Linked DNA regions of Arabidopsis thaliana. The protein of the gene in region 2 interacts with the protein of the main gene of each other region in a pairwise test. Each region holds a gene or a part of one and is shown on either strand. Other genes may lie near its edges. The genes, in order: BNQ3, AT4G30180, BNQ2 and HEC1.

Region 1 (3,585 bases), on a different chromosome or scaffold from region 2:
ACATATTTAATCACACAAGTTGAGACGACCAAAAAATTTAATTTAATCACATAGTTTGCAAGATGTGCTTGTTTTGATCTGTCAAAAGAGGAATTGTCTCTAATTTATTTCCAAAATTATGAACACTCATATACGGATGTAATGTACATGTATAACTTTTATTTATTGTTTCACCTTATCAAAAAAAAAAAAAAACAATTTTAATAATTGTTACACAAATGATTAAACATATTTTATCGGGTAATGATATACTAATGAGTCATGAGTCCATGTGATTTTTTATTTTGTTTTTTGATCTAAAGATTCATAACTTAAGTATTCTGGTGTAAACATAAAAAGAAAGCAATTTTTTTGAATAATACAAAAAAGAAATCGTTTATTTTCTTAAAACTGTAAATAAAATCAAATGAAAATGTAAAATAAAATAATAAAAAAATGTAAAACAATCCACATATGAAAAAAAAATCTATTACTAGATTAAATCTAATAACGATTTAAAAATAGACAATACGTGTTCGGAATTTGGAATCAAAGTCCAATTTTCTCTTCTAACTTCTTAATTAAAAAACAAACTTTTAGTTTACAATTTATTTAATGAATTAAATTAAAAATATATTTTTTCTCAATTGTTGGTGTAACCATAATTAACTAATGGAATTTTTTGGAGAAAATATTAATTACTTCAATAAAACGAATGTTATTTATTATCTAAATATAAAGATATTACATGATGGGAAGAGAGACGGGTTACCATATAGTTTGATACCTAGACAAATTTCTGTCTGTAGACTATAAAATTATTTATAGGAATCATTTCCATTGATTAGAAATTCTTGAGATATAGTGATAAAATTGTCAGATCTAAATGGATAAATAATCGAGCGCTTGATTGATTATTCCAAATTTGCAATATATTAATCAACTGATTGATGCCCATGGTATACAAATAAAAATGGAAGAAAGACCAAACTAAGGTACACTCAAAATGGAAAAGACTGATATTAGAATTGTTTAATTTCATCTCTAATAAAACTAAATCAACTTAATTATTTATGTTTGTCTGTACATGCTCAAATTAGTATATGTACTAGATCAAGTATGTAACTATATAAATAAATTAATCTTGCAATATAACTATAGAAGTTGATTAACATTTCCAGGAGTTAATCCTAATTTTACAGTTCTTGGATTAATTAAGATATCATACAAACTAATCATAATTTGTAGTCTAGTACCAAAGTTTGTATTATCACCAATTCCAGAATTTATGCAAGTTTGCCGATAAGTATGACAAACATGCATACATATTCTCTTTGTCTTATAAACCCAAAATGTTTTAGTATACTCTATTCGTGCCAAAAAAAAATATGAAAGAAGGTATCCTCCAACTATAATCAAACATCACCTTTTAAATGATTTACTAAAATGGCACAAGATCACTCTTGTTCTGAAGTTGGTTACTAGTGAAACATATATAGAAAAATGAAAACTGGATTAGCAAAAAAAATAATGTGGAATTAAAATGAATTTTAATCTTCTATTTTATAATGAATTGTAATTGGATAAATGGAAATGTTTTTCCTATATAAGTTTAAAAACATAACGAGACGAAAATTTTCTACCGTTAACAACAAAGATGTTCTTGCAAATAAGATAAGCGTTTTTTTATTGCACAAATATATCTATAAATTTTAGATAAAATATAAATTCTTACCCATTGAGATTTGCATAATACTATTCAGAGTGTTTTTTTTCCCTTTCGTTAAAGACTACTAGTCAGAGTGTTAATCTAGTAATTCACCAATTAATTTAACTATACTTAAAAATATTACAGTTTTTAGGAAACATGCTAGAAAAAACATATATAATTTTGCAATTATATTATTCCATGCATACACATGTAGAGCCAAAAACGGAGAAAAATCTTCTATATAAACACAAGTTGAAACCATTCATGTTTATTTTAAGCAGTTGCAGTAGACTCTTCCACTTCTGTATTCAATTCTTCCTTCTTTTTTCTCTTATAATATAAATAACATACAAAGAAAATACTTGCACTCACAAATATTGATTAAAGTTAATTAGTGAACCCTAAGATTTATAAATCTCTAGCTATACTCTACCATATCATATATATTACATAATGTCTAGCAGAAAATCACGTTCAAGACAAACTGGAGCTTCCATGATCACGGATGAACAAATCAACGATCTTGTCCTCCAGCTTCATCGGCTTCTCCCCGAACTTGCTAACAACAGACGCTCTGGAAAGGTACAACGTTCTAATCAATTTTTCATTATGATTCCTTTTAAAAAATTTAATTTCCTCTTTCAAACCTTAAATCTTTTCTAAACCTTTTTAAATCTTCCTTGGATTAGTAGTGGGTACTTAAAAGAACAAACCTCCGGTTTAAAAAAAATAAAAATAATAACTAATATATATCCTCCATCAAAGTTTAACAGTAATTCTTTCATCTTTCTGTTGTTGCAAACAAACGAGAGTCTTTAGTTAGAATTATAAATAAATATTAAACTAATATTCCATATATTCCAATATTGCATGTATGTATTGATTCATTTGATTGTGATGCATTTTGTGACGAGTGCTAAATTTTAATTTCCAAACTAATCGACAATAAATAGCATGCTGCATGCATGATAATTAAATTGTTAATTATATATAAGATCCTTCTTCTTATCAATATATTGGTTACTTTCAGGTTTCAGCATCAAGGGTATTACAAGAGACATGCAGTTACATAAGGAACTTGAGCAAAGAAGTGGATGATCTTAGTGAAAGATTGTCTCAACTTTTGGAATCAACTGATTCAGCTCAAGCTGCACTAATCCGAAGTTTGCTTATGCAGTAGAATTAGTGCAATAAACGAAGGATATTTTTTTCTTTTCTTTTTTTTGAAAAAATGTCTTCTCAGTTTTAATTCCCCTTCTTATTGTATTTATAATGTCTGGCAGCTTGTGTCCCCTGTTAATTATGCAATGTTTTATTTTTAATATATGTAGGGTTTTGTTTTTGTCAGTTGTTGAACGAAGCAAATGGTTTGGGTTTACGTTCACATTATTTAAGGCAACACACTCAATATATGGGCTTAGGTATTTCTTAGATTCTAGGCATTCCAACCAAATCCATCACATTTTAGTAGCAAAAACATTGATTAAATTTTGAATTTACGAGAAGAACAATGTTTTCTAGTGTCATGCATATACGATTATAACGGTGTTTTTGTAGTTAATATCGATAGGAACTAAACTAACGCAAGTCAAATTTTCTGATCAAAATTAGTCGTTAATTTCGCTTAATGGTATAAAGTATATTTTAAGAAGGAATAAAATATGCTAATAAGCCCCCACGGTTTCCATTTCTGGTAACAAGAATACCATTCAACGTCTCGATCAGCAGCAACGTTGAATCGTTGATATCTATATATAGAAGTATAGAACCAAGGGGTAATTTGGTCATTCCAGTTCTAACCCACTTCTATTACAAGAGCAGTTTACTACGTAAAAACGACCGGCCTTCCACTTTCCCGAAAACAGCCAGCGCCCGCACGTAGAGATTTACTGCAT
Region 2 (3,189 bases):
ATAGAGAGATTTGGATGCGTGCGAGTGACTGTGAGACACGTGCAAAGATATGGATGATGACTTCAAATCAATGTTATGACTTTCATAGTTTACACATATGTCATCCAACTTTCCTCCTTTTTAGATATTTACAATTTCGGCGTTTTGTTTTTCATATTCATCGAATTTTTTGGAAAGTAATTCTAGTCCAGTAGTCCTAATTTTTGTTTACATTTTAATGGTGCACCTGTAGTTACTGCAGCTGGAACATATTGGTGATCTCTACTAATGTGTAGCTTTTATTTAATTGAAGATTTGTTACATCTGATTTTTTGTAGTCGAAAGTTCATATGTTTTCGCTAAAGGAGAAAAAAAACTTGCAGGAATATAAATATATACACAAACACAAAGTTTGTCAGGTTAAAATGATTAGAATATTAAAGTTTGGAGATTTGCTCATAACATTAAAATAATAAATTCAGGAAAAAAAGACAACATAAGAGTTTTATTTTAGGCAGCACATCGTCTATTTGGCATTACAACCAATAATTTAAATTTCAATCAGATTTTGATCGAATTTTATAAGATGTACGTATAAACGGCCATGTGTGGTACTTTAGGTATTTCGGTAACCATGATTAATTAAGAAAAGGAAAAAAGAAAAACACTATAATACATGCTCTTGTTCTTAAAGAAATCAAGAGAAAAAAAAAAACACAGATGATTTTCGTTTAAAGACAACAAAAAAAACATGAAACAAACTATAAATTATACACTTAAACTAAAAGTCAAGTACTATCTTGAACAATGGACTTGAGAGCAATCGTCTGCAACTCAAGACATTTAATGTAGTTACCAATCTCACTCAACATTTCTTCCACATTCATCTCTTCCCCACCTGGCAAAAGCTTCTTCAATTCCCTCAGTCTCTCCTCTATCCCTCCTTCTTCGTTTCCGCCTTCTTTATCGGGTCTTTCAAGAATCCGAATTCCATCGGAAGAAGAACTAGTGGTAGTGGTTGGATTCGATGAGGACGATAGCTTCTGCAGCAAGAAACGGCTCCATGCAAATTCTTGAGCAGACAAAGCCAAAGCCATATCTACTTCATGCTTCACGGTTTGTTTTGAAGAGTTCTTGTTCATGTTGAGCTTCTTGAGTGCAGGAACCAAGTGGCTTGTGTATTTTCTCGTGAAAACTGCACTAGGGTTCTTGTTTGGTTCAAGAGAAAACACTCGTTTCTTCCTGTTTATGATTTGCCTCTCCATATGAGAAACTATTTTTGCTGCAAATGAAAGTCTACAAGGGAGAAAGTTACATATATAGCAAACTTAGAATATGAGAGAGACAAAGAAAGAGAAGAGCGGTGTCCTACGTTTGTTTGTATATAACAAGCGTTGATGATGTATAAAGTAAAGTTGTAGAACTTAATTTTCTTTGTATACATATATGAGGTAATATGTTTGGGAGTGTTATTATTTTTCGTTCACGTACAAAACACAAGACTATTTGAAAGTCGTAGTTAGTAGTTTTCTTTTTTAGACAAATATTTTAAAAACAACGGAATTTGAATATCATCAACTAATATATGTTTTTTTGTATAATACATTTATTTTTAGAAAATACACGAAAACAAAAAGAGAGTGTGTATATATATATATATATATATATATATACATAAATAAAGAGAGAAAAATAAGAAAAGAAGAATTTGGGAATAATAATGGGTGAGGGAAGAAAAAACACATGGAGTCACATGCAAGAGCTCTAATTTGGCTGCATCACAACTACCCCTAAAGAGGTGCTTTGAGAGACCCTTTTACCATGTGGCTCCATTCCAAGAACAAGACATCAATACAAAACCCCACCTTCTCTTAATGCTTTCACATGTTCCTTCCTCTTAACCTCTCTCTCTCTCACTCACTCACTCACACACTTTGTATATACATAATACATGTATGCATGTGTATGTGTCCTTGGACCAATCTCCTAATTAGTTTGATCAATCTATGTCATTTCTACCCATATTATCTTAATATAGATCTCCCTCATATTATATATACCATTTGACCTTCTTTTTTTTTATGCTGCATGTGTGATGAATTTGGGTTTCACTACCCACTACTTTTGCGATATTTGGATACAGATGGTAACTTGCTAAACAGAAATTTAGTTATTATTAGTGGTAGTTCAATTGGTGATCTGTACAACATATCAAGACAAACATCTTTGAAACTGAATTTTACTGCCACTGTAACTAATATGACGTAGATACAAGTTTCTTTACTACGCATATTAACATAAAGTTAAGATGCATGTGGTCAGTAATTGGGTTATTAATACGTTTTATTTGTCAAGGACTTTTAGTCGTGATTTTTTGATTCTAAGCATCATTGCATTCCAGGTTTAAAGATGACTTTAATTTTTCCTATAGGATTTGTAAATAGATAAATATAGTTTATGTTGACACAAAAGGTCACCTTTGATATGATATGAAAGTCTGGGTGTTACTCATTTGTTATTTTATTTTTATTTTTTAAAATATATACCGAATCATTTAGATATATATATATATATATATATATAATAATAATAATAATAATAATAACAATAAAATGTCCAAACAATATCTATAACTACTAAACATGGGCGGTTGAGACATTACAAGTTGTCTCTTAATCTTATAGTGTTTGATACATGCAATATACACGTTACTAGCTTTTGTTGTTAATAGCCAAAACTGAATGATCTCTTATTGGTTTTGTTGTGTTCTTTATCCTACCACACAAAAAAAGTCAAGGGTTAGTAGATTATCAATCAATGCAGCAAGGAAATTTTATTTCTCTTTTGTAAATAATCTTTTTTTTTGTTAGAATGTGATGTTTTCTCGTATTATATTTTAATGCAATCCCATAACCTTTGATTGAATGTGGAAAACATGTGTTAATGGTAACCCATCTAGATGAAATTAATTAATCTATAAACTTTACTAAATACAAGTAGATAAAAGTACATAAAGGTAGAGGAATTTTCTAGTTAAAAACAAACGAAATAATATATATATATATATTGGATATATATATATATATATATATAATCTAAGAGGAGAAAGAAATTGAGATGCAAACTAATAGATGTGGATACCAAAATAGATACTAGACATTCACACCTATAGTAGACATTGAACAATAATGCATATAATCATAAAAGTTT
Region 3 (4,039 bases), on a different chromosome or scaffold from region 2:
TATTTCACCTATTGAAAGATGCATTCTAATGTATCAATTTTGAACGGTGGTACTGGTACATCGACGACACTAGTATGAACAATTATGATATAAATTAAACTCACTGGTTTTTGCAAATGTTCTAACTATAAAAACATTTTTCTTTGAAAATTGTTATCTCACTACCGTAGTAAAACGATGGAGATAAGAAAAGCGAGAGGTCATGTGGGAGAGGGCGTGAAGGATGGGGATGCTCCCTGATTAGAGGGGGGAAAGAGTGTCCTATCATCACATGGGAGGTTAAACTGGTTCTTATTTATAACTTCAAAATATTAAAACATAAATAGTCCCACCTTTGTGTGCTCATCAGCAAACATTTTTCTTTAATGTCCAATTTATCACACCATCTCCTTGTTTTCTAATACATATCATACATCTACTAATCATCATTCATTCATATCTTTTGCATATATCATCATCTTCATCATCATCATCACGTGTTTAGATCTAGCAAATGGTTTGTTGTTATTTATGACCAAAACAACATTACCATGTAGTATTTATATAAATCCTAAATAAAAATTGAAACTCACTGATACAATTAAAATTAAAGTATTTGTACAAAATTACATATTGACGAATGTTAGTTGGAAATCACCTGTCTAAGTTTTTTAGAACAAGTGCTCAAAGATATTGGGTTCGACAATTGATGAAATTCCACTTAGGCATTACATATAAATAAATATCGTAAGCATATACACTATCAATTGAGGTACACGTGATCGAGCTTGGACTAAAAGTGTAAGACTAGCCCCTCCCTATTGGCTAGGATAGATACCGTACGTTCCCTCAAATTGACCTAAGTCCATTGTTTTTGTTTACCCGTATCTATATAACTGAACCACAAAATCTTCTTGGTTTTACGCATCACAACGATCATAAAATAATGATATACTCATATAGGTATATCTTGAGTATATAGACAAGCTTTACACTAGCTTGTATAATAAGATAAATAGAGTGGTGATATTTTAATGTTGCATTGTTTCAGTACTTGAAATCAGAATCGTTTCCCACTTGAAAAATTAGTTTCTCTTTGATCATAGCATATCTAACAAGACATATTAGTCGAGCTTTTGGATAGTTGTCGTTTGGTCTTAAAAAATAATGATACATTCTCACAAACTCTCACCGTACCTCAAGGCTCAAGCAAAGCTAGGACATGCTATTAAGGAACTGTAACTACTATAGCTGATTATCACAAAGTCTCACCTCAATATATATAAAGATTTTAATGACTAGAATAATTATAAGTTTTGAGATAAATTATCAATGTATCCAAGTGAAAGTATTGTTTGGTATTTTCTGTCAATCTAGATATTCATTTGCGAATTCCTAATTGACGAAAAATAACAGATATTATAATGTTACTAATTAACAAAAAATAAATCTTTGAAAAGATTTACATCATTGAAATACTACAATATTAAAAATATAATAGCATTATAATATCGACAATACTTATAATACTCATATAATAATATAATAAGAAGATTTTAAATGTACATAATACAAATTATTGCAAAAAGATTTCCAGTAATAGATACTAAGTTCTACTAAAGTTTTTGAAACTTTTTAGGAAAAGCAAGATTTTGTTGGAGACTTTGGATTAATGTAATTTTCAAAAGAGAAGAAGATGGTTTTTTTTTTTCTGAATATAAGAAAATAGAAGATATATATCTATCTTCGGTGTATTTATTGTTGATAAATATGCTGTCTTTTTTTAAAGTAAATAGATAAAAGTTAGACAGACTTTTTTTTTGTCTTATGTATCTTTTTCTCTAGTTTTTTATAAATCAACTTTAAATTAATCATCAAATAATAGTAATATTAGACACATATATACATCACGATCTGATAAATTTGTAAATTCACGTGTCATGTATCCAAGACTCCAATTCTAAACCACTGTTCTCTCTTGTGCACTTGTCATCGGCATATCCAACACCCCTATTTAAGATTATTTGTATTACTCTCGCTCTCTCTCTCTCTCTCTATCTAGAAGTGGTCCTAGCTCTCTATATAACACCATTTCTTCTCCTTCTTTCTTCTCCCTTTCTTTCGACAAGCACAAACAAAGCCATCAAGAGAAGAAAGCCTTTTCTTGGATTCACATATATATAAGAATATTTTTTCAAATCAAACATGTCTTCTAGCAGAAGGTCGAGACAAGCAAGCTCATCATCAAGAATTAGCGATGACCAGATCACTGATCTCATCTCAAAGCTCCGACAGTCCATTCCGGAGATTCGCCAGAACCGTCGTTCCAACACGGTAAATCTTTTCAAAAGTTACTGTGTTTCTTCTATGTACCAAGGTTTTGGCATAGTCACATAAGTTTTACTTTGATGATATTTATTTAGGGTTAGCTATTATGTTTAATAGAGAATCACGCATATACAAGTATACAACATGTTAGAATAGTGCATTATAGTCATAGAAGTACGTGTGGGAGACTGCATTTTGAAGTTTCTAAAATTACTTTTGACCATTAACCGGACTTTGAGGAGAGGGGAACATATTTTCCCTAACTTCAGCATTAAGCTTCTAGTTAATTTTACTTTTATTATTGATTAACTACATTGAATGTGAGACGACTATATTGCTTCACGGACCATCAATTCAATACATTTATGTACAGCACCGACTAATTTTTATATTTGGTTTTCTTAGTTTCTATATAACAAGAAAAGTACGAACTCTAGAAAAATAAGAAAAAGCTGGTTTCTATAAATGGAAGCATCGTTTTCTTATAGTACACACAACCAATCAGATTTGTTCTCAATTTCAAAACAATGTGTTGGTTAAGTTATGAGCATTTTTATTTTTTTGATAAAGTATGGGCATTTTATCTTAAGCTTTAGGTTTAACTTTTAACCTATGCATAGTGTAGTATGTCAAGCAACTAGCGTCAATATATTTTCTTACATTATTAACACGCATCATAACTTCAAGCTAAGACTTGTTTCTGTTGTTGTTAAAGCAAGCTAAGACTTGTTTGAATATTTATATTGAATCCTTACTATAAAATGTACAATTGTGAAAATTGTTTGTAGGTATCAGCGTCGAAAGTGTTACAAGAGACTTGCAACTACATAAGAAACTTGAACAAGGAAGCCGATGACCTCAGTGATCGATTGACTCAGCTTCTGGAATCCATTGATCCTAATAGCCCACAAGCCGCAGTTATTAGGAGCTTGATTAATGGATAATTAAGATATAAATTGATTAGTTGTGCTTTATATATATAAGCTTAAAATCTCGTTGGGAGGTTGATCCATCAGGGTGTTGCATAATTATATATCTATTTTATGTTTCTTATATATTATTTACAATCCTATCTAGTTAGGGTTCATATTTTGACCCTTTTTTGGTTTAACGTCATGCATGCAATTCCATTAAGCTTAAAAATTATAATAAATAAGATTTCGAGTAATTATTTAATTTAAATCCTTTTATATTATATTGTAAGTGTGTCCATTTGTATGTGTGTTAATGCGTTATACAAATGGATATACTATATAAGTATATATGGCACCCAAGAGGTTAATTAATTTCAAAGTTAATTTAGACTTATCTTCGAAATAGATAGAAAAGTTGATTAATACTATCATTTAAAGCGTACATGATTATCAATTTTGCATGAAAACGTAATAGGATGACTCAAACCTACCAGACTCACATAAAAAATAATATCTCAACCATTATACCACTATACATTGTTACAAATTACAAACTACAGAATGAAACAAAATCTATATTTATTAGCTTCTCACATATTAAAAAAAATAAAAAATCCAACAAATGTTTTTGAAAACAGACCCATCGTGCATTATATTTGATAATAAAGATAACATTTACACTAGTTTGCTATAAAATTTAGTATTTAATTACCTACAATAATTTTACATATATATATATATATATATCTGTATAAAATTCCCTAAAATATTTGAAGGTTTAGAAAACAGGTATATGAAGTTTAAACATGCGTATCATA
Region 4 (3,430 bases), on a different chromosome or scaffold from region 2:
ACGAGTAGGTCTTTTTGGGCTTCATCAAAACAGCCTTTGTGATAGCTAGGTTGTGTTTTTAAAAAGATTCGGATGGGTCCAGTTGTTTTTGGGTCCTGAATAATATAGCTGATAACATAAAAGACTACTAATTGTGTAAACAATGAGAAAAAGACCAATCCTGAGACTGTTACACAAAAGCAAAGGCCCAGTTGAATATTTAATAGCATCTTAATGAAATTATTCTATAGACCAAATTTCTTGTAAGATTTTGTTTTAAGTGAAAAATAATTTTTATTGTTTAATGCTTTGAAATTACTGATCATTTAATGAAGATGTTAATTTCTTCCTCAAATCCATCAGATTAGACATTAACAATTGAAAATAAATAATCGTGGACTTTTTGGTTAGTCATATTCTCAAATCTGTATACAAGTATAAGAGTATAAACTCAAATTTTGAAATTTTAATTTTTAATTTAAGAAAAAAGTATAGATATTTGCATGTTGAAAACAGCATTTAGTTTTTAGACAAATAAAAAATGAACACAAGCCTGATAGCTGAAAGCATAATACTGCTTTAATTATTTGATTAACAAGGATACAATGATAATAGTTCCTAATTTACAAACTCGCTCCAACAACCATGGAGAGTCTTTGGCTTTAAAAACCATCATTACACATTATCTAAACAAGAAAATAAAGTTAAATTAAAGACTCTCACATAAATTACTTGGCTTCCCTCTCCAGAATCATTTTTCTCTTTTTCTCCAACATTAATATAATAATAATAAAATTAAAAATCATCATCATCTAAGAATCTGTGCATTGCCCACCATCTGATGAGTCCCCACTGTTCCACACCCTTTCATAACCACTCCCCCGCCGCCACCACCACCACTCGCCGCCGTCATTCCACCTCCACCGATCAAAACCCTTCCTCCTCCTCCTCCCCCTCCGCCAGTAACCACCGCCTGCTCCTCCAGAGACTGCACCTGTTTCTTTAAAAACTTCACATAATGAATTGCTTCATCGAGCATCGAAGCTGTATCCATCTTCGTCCCACCAGGAACAAGCCGTTGCAAAATCCGAATCCTCTCGCTTATTCTCTCCCTTCTATGCCTAGCCGCCACGCTTTGAGGATCTTTAGAGATCCTGACGTTCCTCCTCTTCGGTGGCTTAACCGCCTCGGGATCGATATGGATCGGTTGCATCACGGCGATACGGAAGATCATCTCTCGCATAGCTGCCATGTTCGTGCCATTATTGTTGTTGTTACTGTTGTTTCTTTTGTCAAGAAAAACGGAAGAGTAAGCTGTGTTGGGAGAGATAGAAGAAGGGTTAGTGAGTAAACCGGAACCGTAGCGGAAACCTGGTTCGTTGGTCATTGAGTGATCGGACTGGTAATGAGTGGAGTTAAAGAGAAAAGGGTAAGTGTTGTTGTGGTCGGGAGAGAAGAAAGAGGAATTAGGGTTACAAAACTCAGGAAGCTTCTCCATCTGATGCATCATCATGTTCATTATGTCAGAATCCATAGAGAAAGATATGGAGAAGCTGATAAAATGGGTATGGAGAGAAACTGGTGAAAAGCTTACAAGTGAAATTTTAGGGTTTTTTCTTTTGGATGATTGATGATTGATGATGAGAGAAAGAGACGGTATGTGTGAGAGAAATGGCAATGGTACTACTGTGCCCAATCAGAACTCAAGCAATAGTATACAACAAGAAGTGGAAGGATTTATATAGCAACTTGTGGCCCATCCATCTTCTTTAACTTATGCTACACATATATAATAAAAAGGAATTTCTTCCCATTTTCAACTCTCACATTTATGGGCATATATGTATATATTCAATTTCAAAATTTGTCTTCTTGTCTAAGTGCAAATTCCACATGCATTCGGTCATTCGGACTAACTTACCAATGTAATATCATATATCAACTATTATAGGTTATTATATACCAAGGCAAGTAAAATATTGAGGTGGATTTTATTCCTCATATTTGAACTTGTATGATGATAAAATTCCCAAACATTAATGTTAGGAAAAATCATTTTTATAAAGCCATAATATTTTCGTTCGGTTGCGAATAGAAGCTATGAAAAAGTGTGTACACGTAGGAGTTACTATAAGTAGAATTATTGCGTAACATAACTTGGATCCAAAAAGAAAAACAAGTAAAAAAAGACTAAAAGAAGTAAGAAAAATGGTTCCATTAATGAGTATCGATGATGACCGTCGATAATTGACCAATGGTTTATTTTATCGCATTTATCGACCGTCCAGATCATGTTTGTTGTAAACACGTGGCTTACATCTATTGGTGTTCAGATCCACTAAAGGCAAAGAAGGCATAACGCGTTACGCGACAAAGCAAGGTTCATGAACCGGTCGTCTCACAAGCACAACAACGAGTATTCCATTTTTTCCACCATTATTATTGTATTCATTTCATAATCAACACTTTTGTATGTGAAAAAGGTCAATTAGGTTTCATATAATAGCTGGAGTAAAAGATTATCAACTGGTTTTGTTGCACTAATTAACGAAAGTGTTTTCTTCAATCCAAGAAAAACGGTTACTTAACCAAAATATTATAATAAGAGAGAGAGAGGACTATGATTTATAAGATTACCCCACATCCACATGAGATATGTCAGAATCCAGGGAGCAGTATTTTATTCTGTAAAATTTTCTGGTCAGATTTAAATTAACACAGACTCATAACGAGAACGGTTAATACATTAATACATGCGTGTGTGTGTGTATATATAACAAATGGTGGAGGAACAAACGTATATAGATAGATAAGAAATAAGTCAGGATGATTAATTGGATCTCAGTTGACATCAAGCCTTAGCGTATGGCACGCTTCTCAAAGCCGATCTGAGAACGACTTCATTCCTTTTTTATTTTATTTTACTGTTTTTTTGTTACTCACTATCTTAAATTTCGAATTATTCATTTTTGGAAGTTTTTATGTATTATTCTATATAGTAGATTTTATTAAACACTTTTGTTGCTTACCCCCACTGACTTTCCTTCTGGCGAAGGTGCTTTCAGTTTTTATGAAAATTCTCAACCTTTTTTTCTCTCTTGTAAATTGCTTTTTTAACCAAAGAATTTTATGTTGAAATCGAAAACTGAAGAATCATCATCTGCTGCATCTGACAACCCGATATCATTCCCAACAAAGTGGAGATTTTTTCATTCTTATAACTGATTTACAAATTGCTATACAAAAATAGTATGCATTAGTATCGTGTAAAAAAATAATAATAAATGATATAGTATCATTTAAGATGGATCTGATTCGTGATCAGATAATCGTTTGAATATTTAAATATAATGATGGAACATAACCTAAAAATGTACCGTAAACAAGAAGCAGCATCCTAATTAATTGAAAACAAATGACAATAAATGATTCTTACCTTAAAAATACACAA

The links.
Region 1: the proteins of AT4G30180 (region 2) and BNQ3 interact in a two-hybrid assay, tested with the Arabidopsis thaliana proteins (one large-scale study listed by BioGRID).
Region 3: the proteins of AT4G30180 (region 2) and BNQ2 interact in a two-hybrid assay, tested with the Arabidopsis thaliana proteins (one large-scale study listed by BioGRID).
Region 4: the proteins of AT4G30180 (region 2) and HEC1 interact in a two-hybrid assay, tested with the Arabidopsis thaliana proteins (one large-scale study listed by BioGRID).

Annotation. Positions count from the first base shown.
Region 1 is NC_003074.8:17,588,586-17,592,170, forward strand, and holds BNQ3 (BANQUO 3), read left to right. Parts: upstream 1-1,958; 5' UTR 1,959-2,143; coding exon 2,144-2,272; intron 2,273-2,720; coding exon 2,721-2,870; 3' UTR 2,871-3,085; downstream 3,086-3,585. UniProt on the Arabidopsis thaliana protein: Atypical and probable non DNA-binding bHLH transcription factor that integrates multiple signaling pathways to regulate cell elongation and plant development.
Region 2 is NC_003075.7:14,767,083-14,770,271, reverse strand, and holds AT4G30180 (uncharacterized protein), read right to left. Parts: upstream 1,489-3,189; 5' UTR 1,245-1,488; coding exon 768-1,244; 3' UTR 501-767; downstream 1-500.
Region 3 is NC_003076.8:4,920,699-4,924,737, reverse strand, and holds BNQ2 (BANQUO 2), read left to right. Parts: upstream 1-1,925; 5' UTR 1,926-2,184; coding exon 2,185-2,313; intron 2,314-3,095; coding exon 3,096-3,251; 3' UTR 3,252-3,495; downstream 3,496-4,039.
Region 4 is NC_003076.8:26,764,359-26,767,788, reverse strand, and holds HEC1 (basic helix-loop-helix (bHLH) DNA-binding superfamily protein), read right to left. Parts: upstream 1,708-3,430; 5' UTR 1,514-1,707; coding exon 788-1,513; 3' UTR 532-787; downstream 1-531. UniProt on the Arabidopsis thaliana protein: Required for the female reproductive tract development and fertility.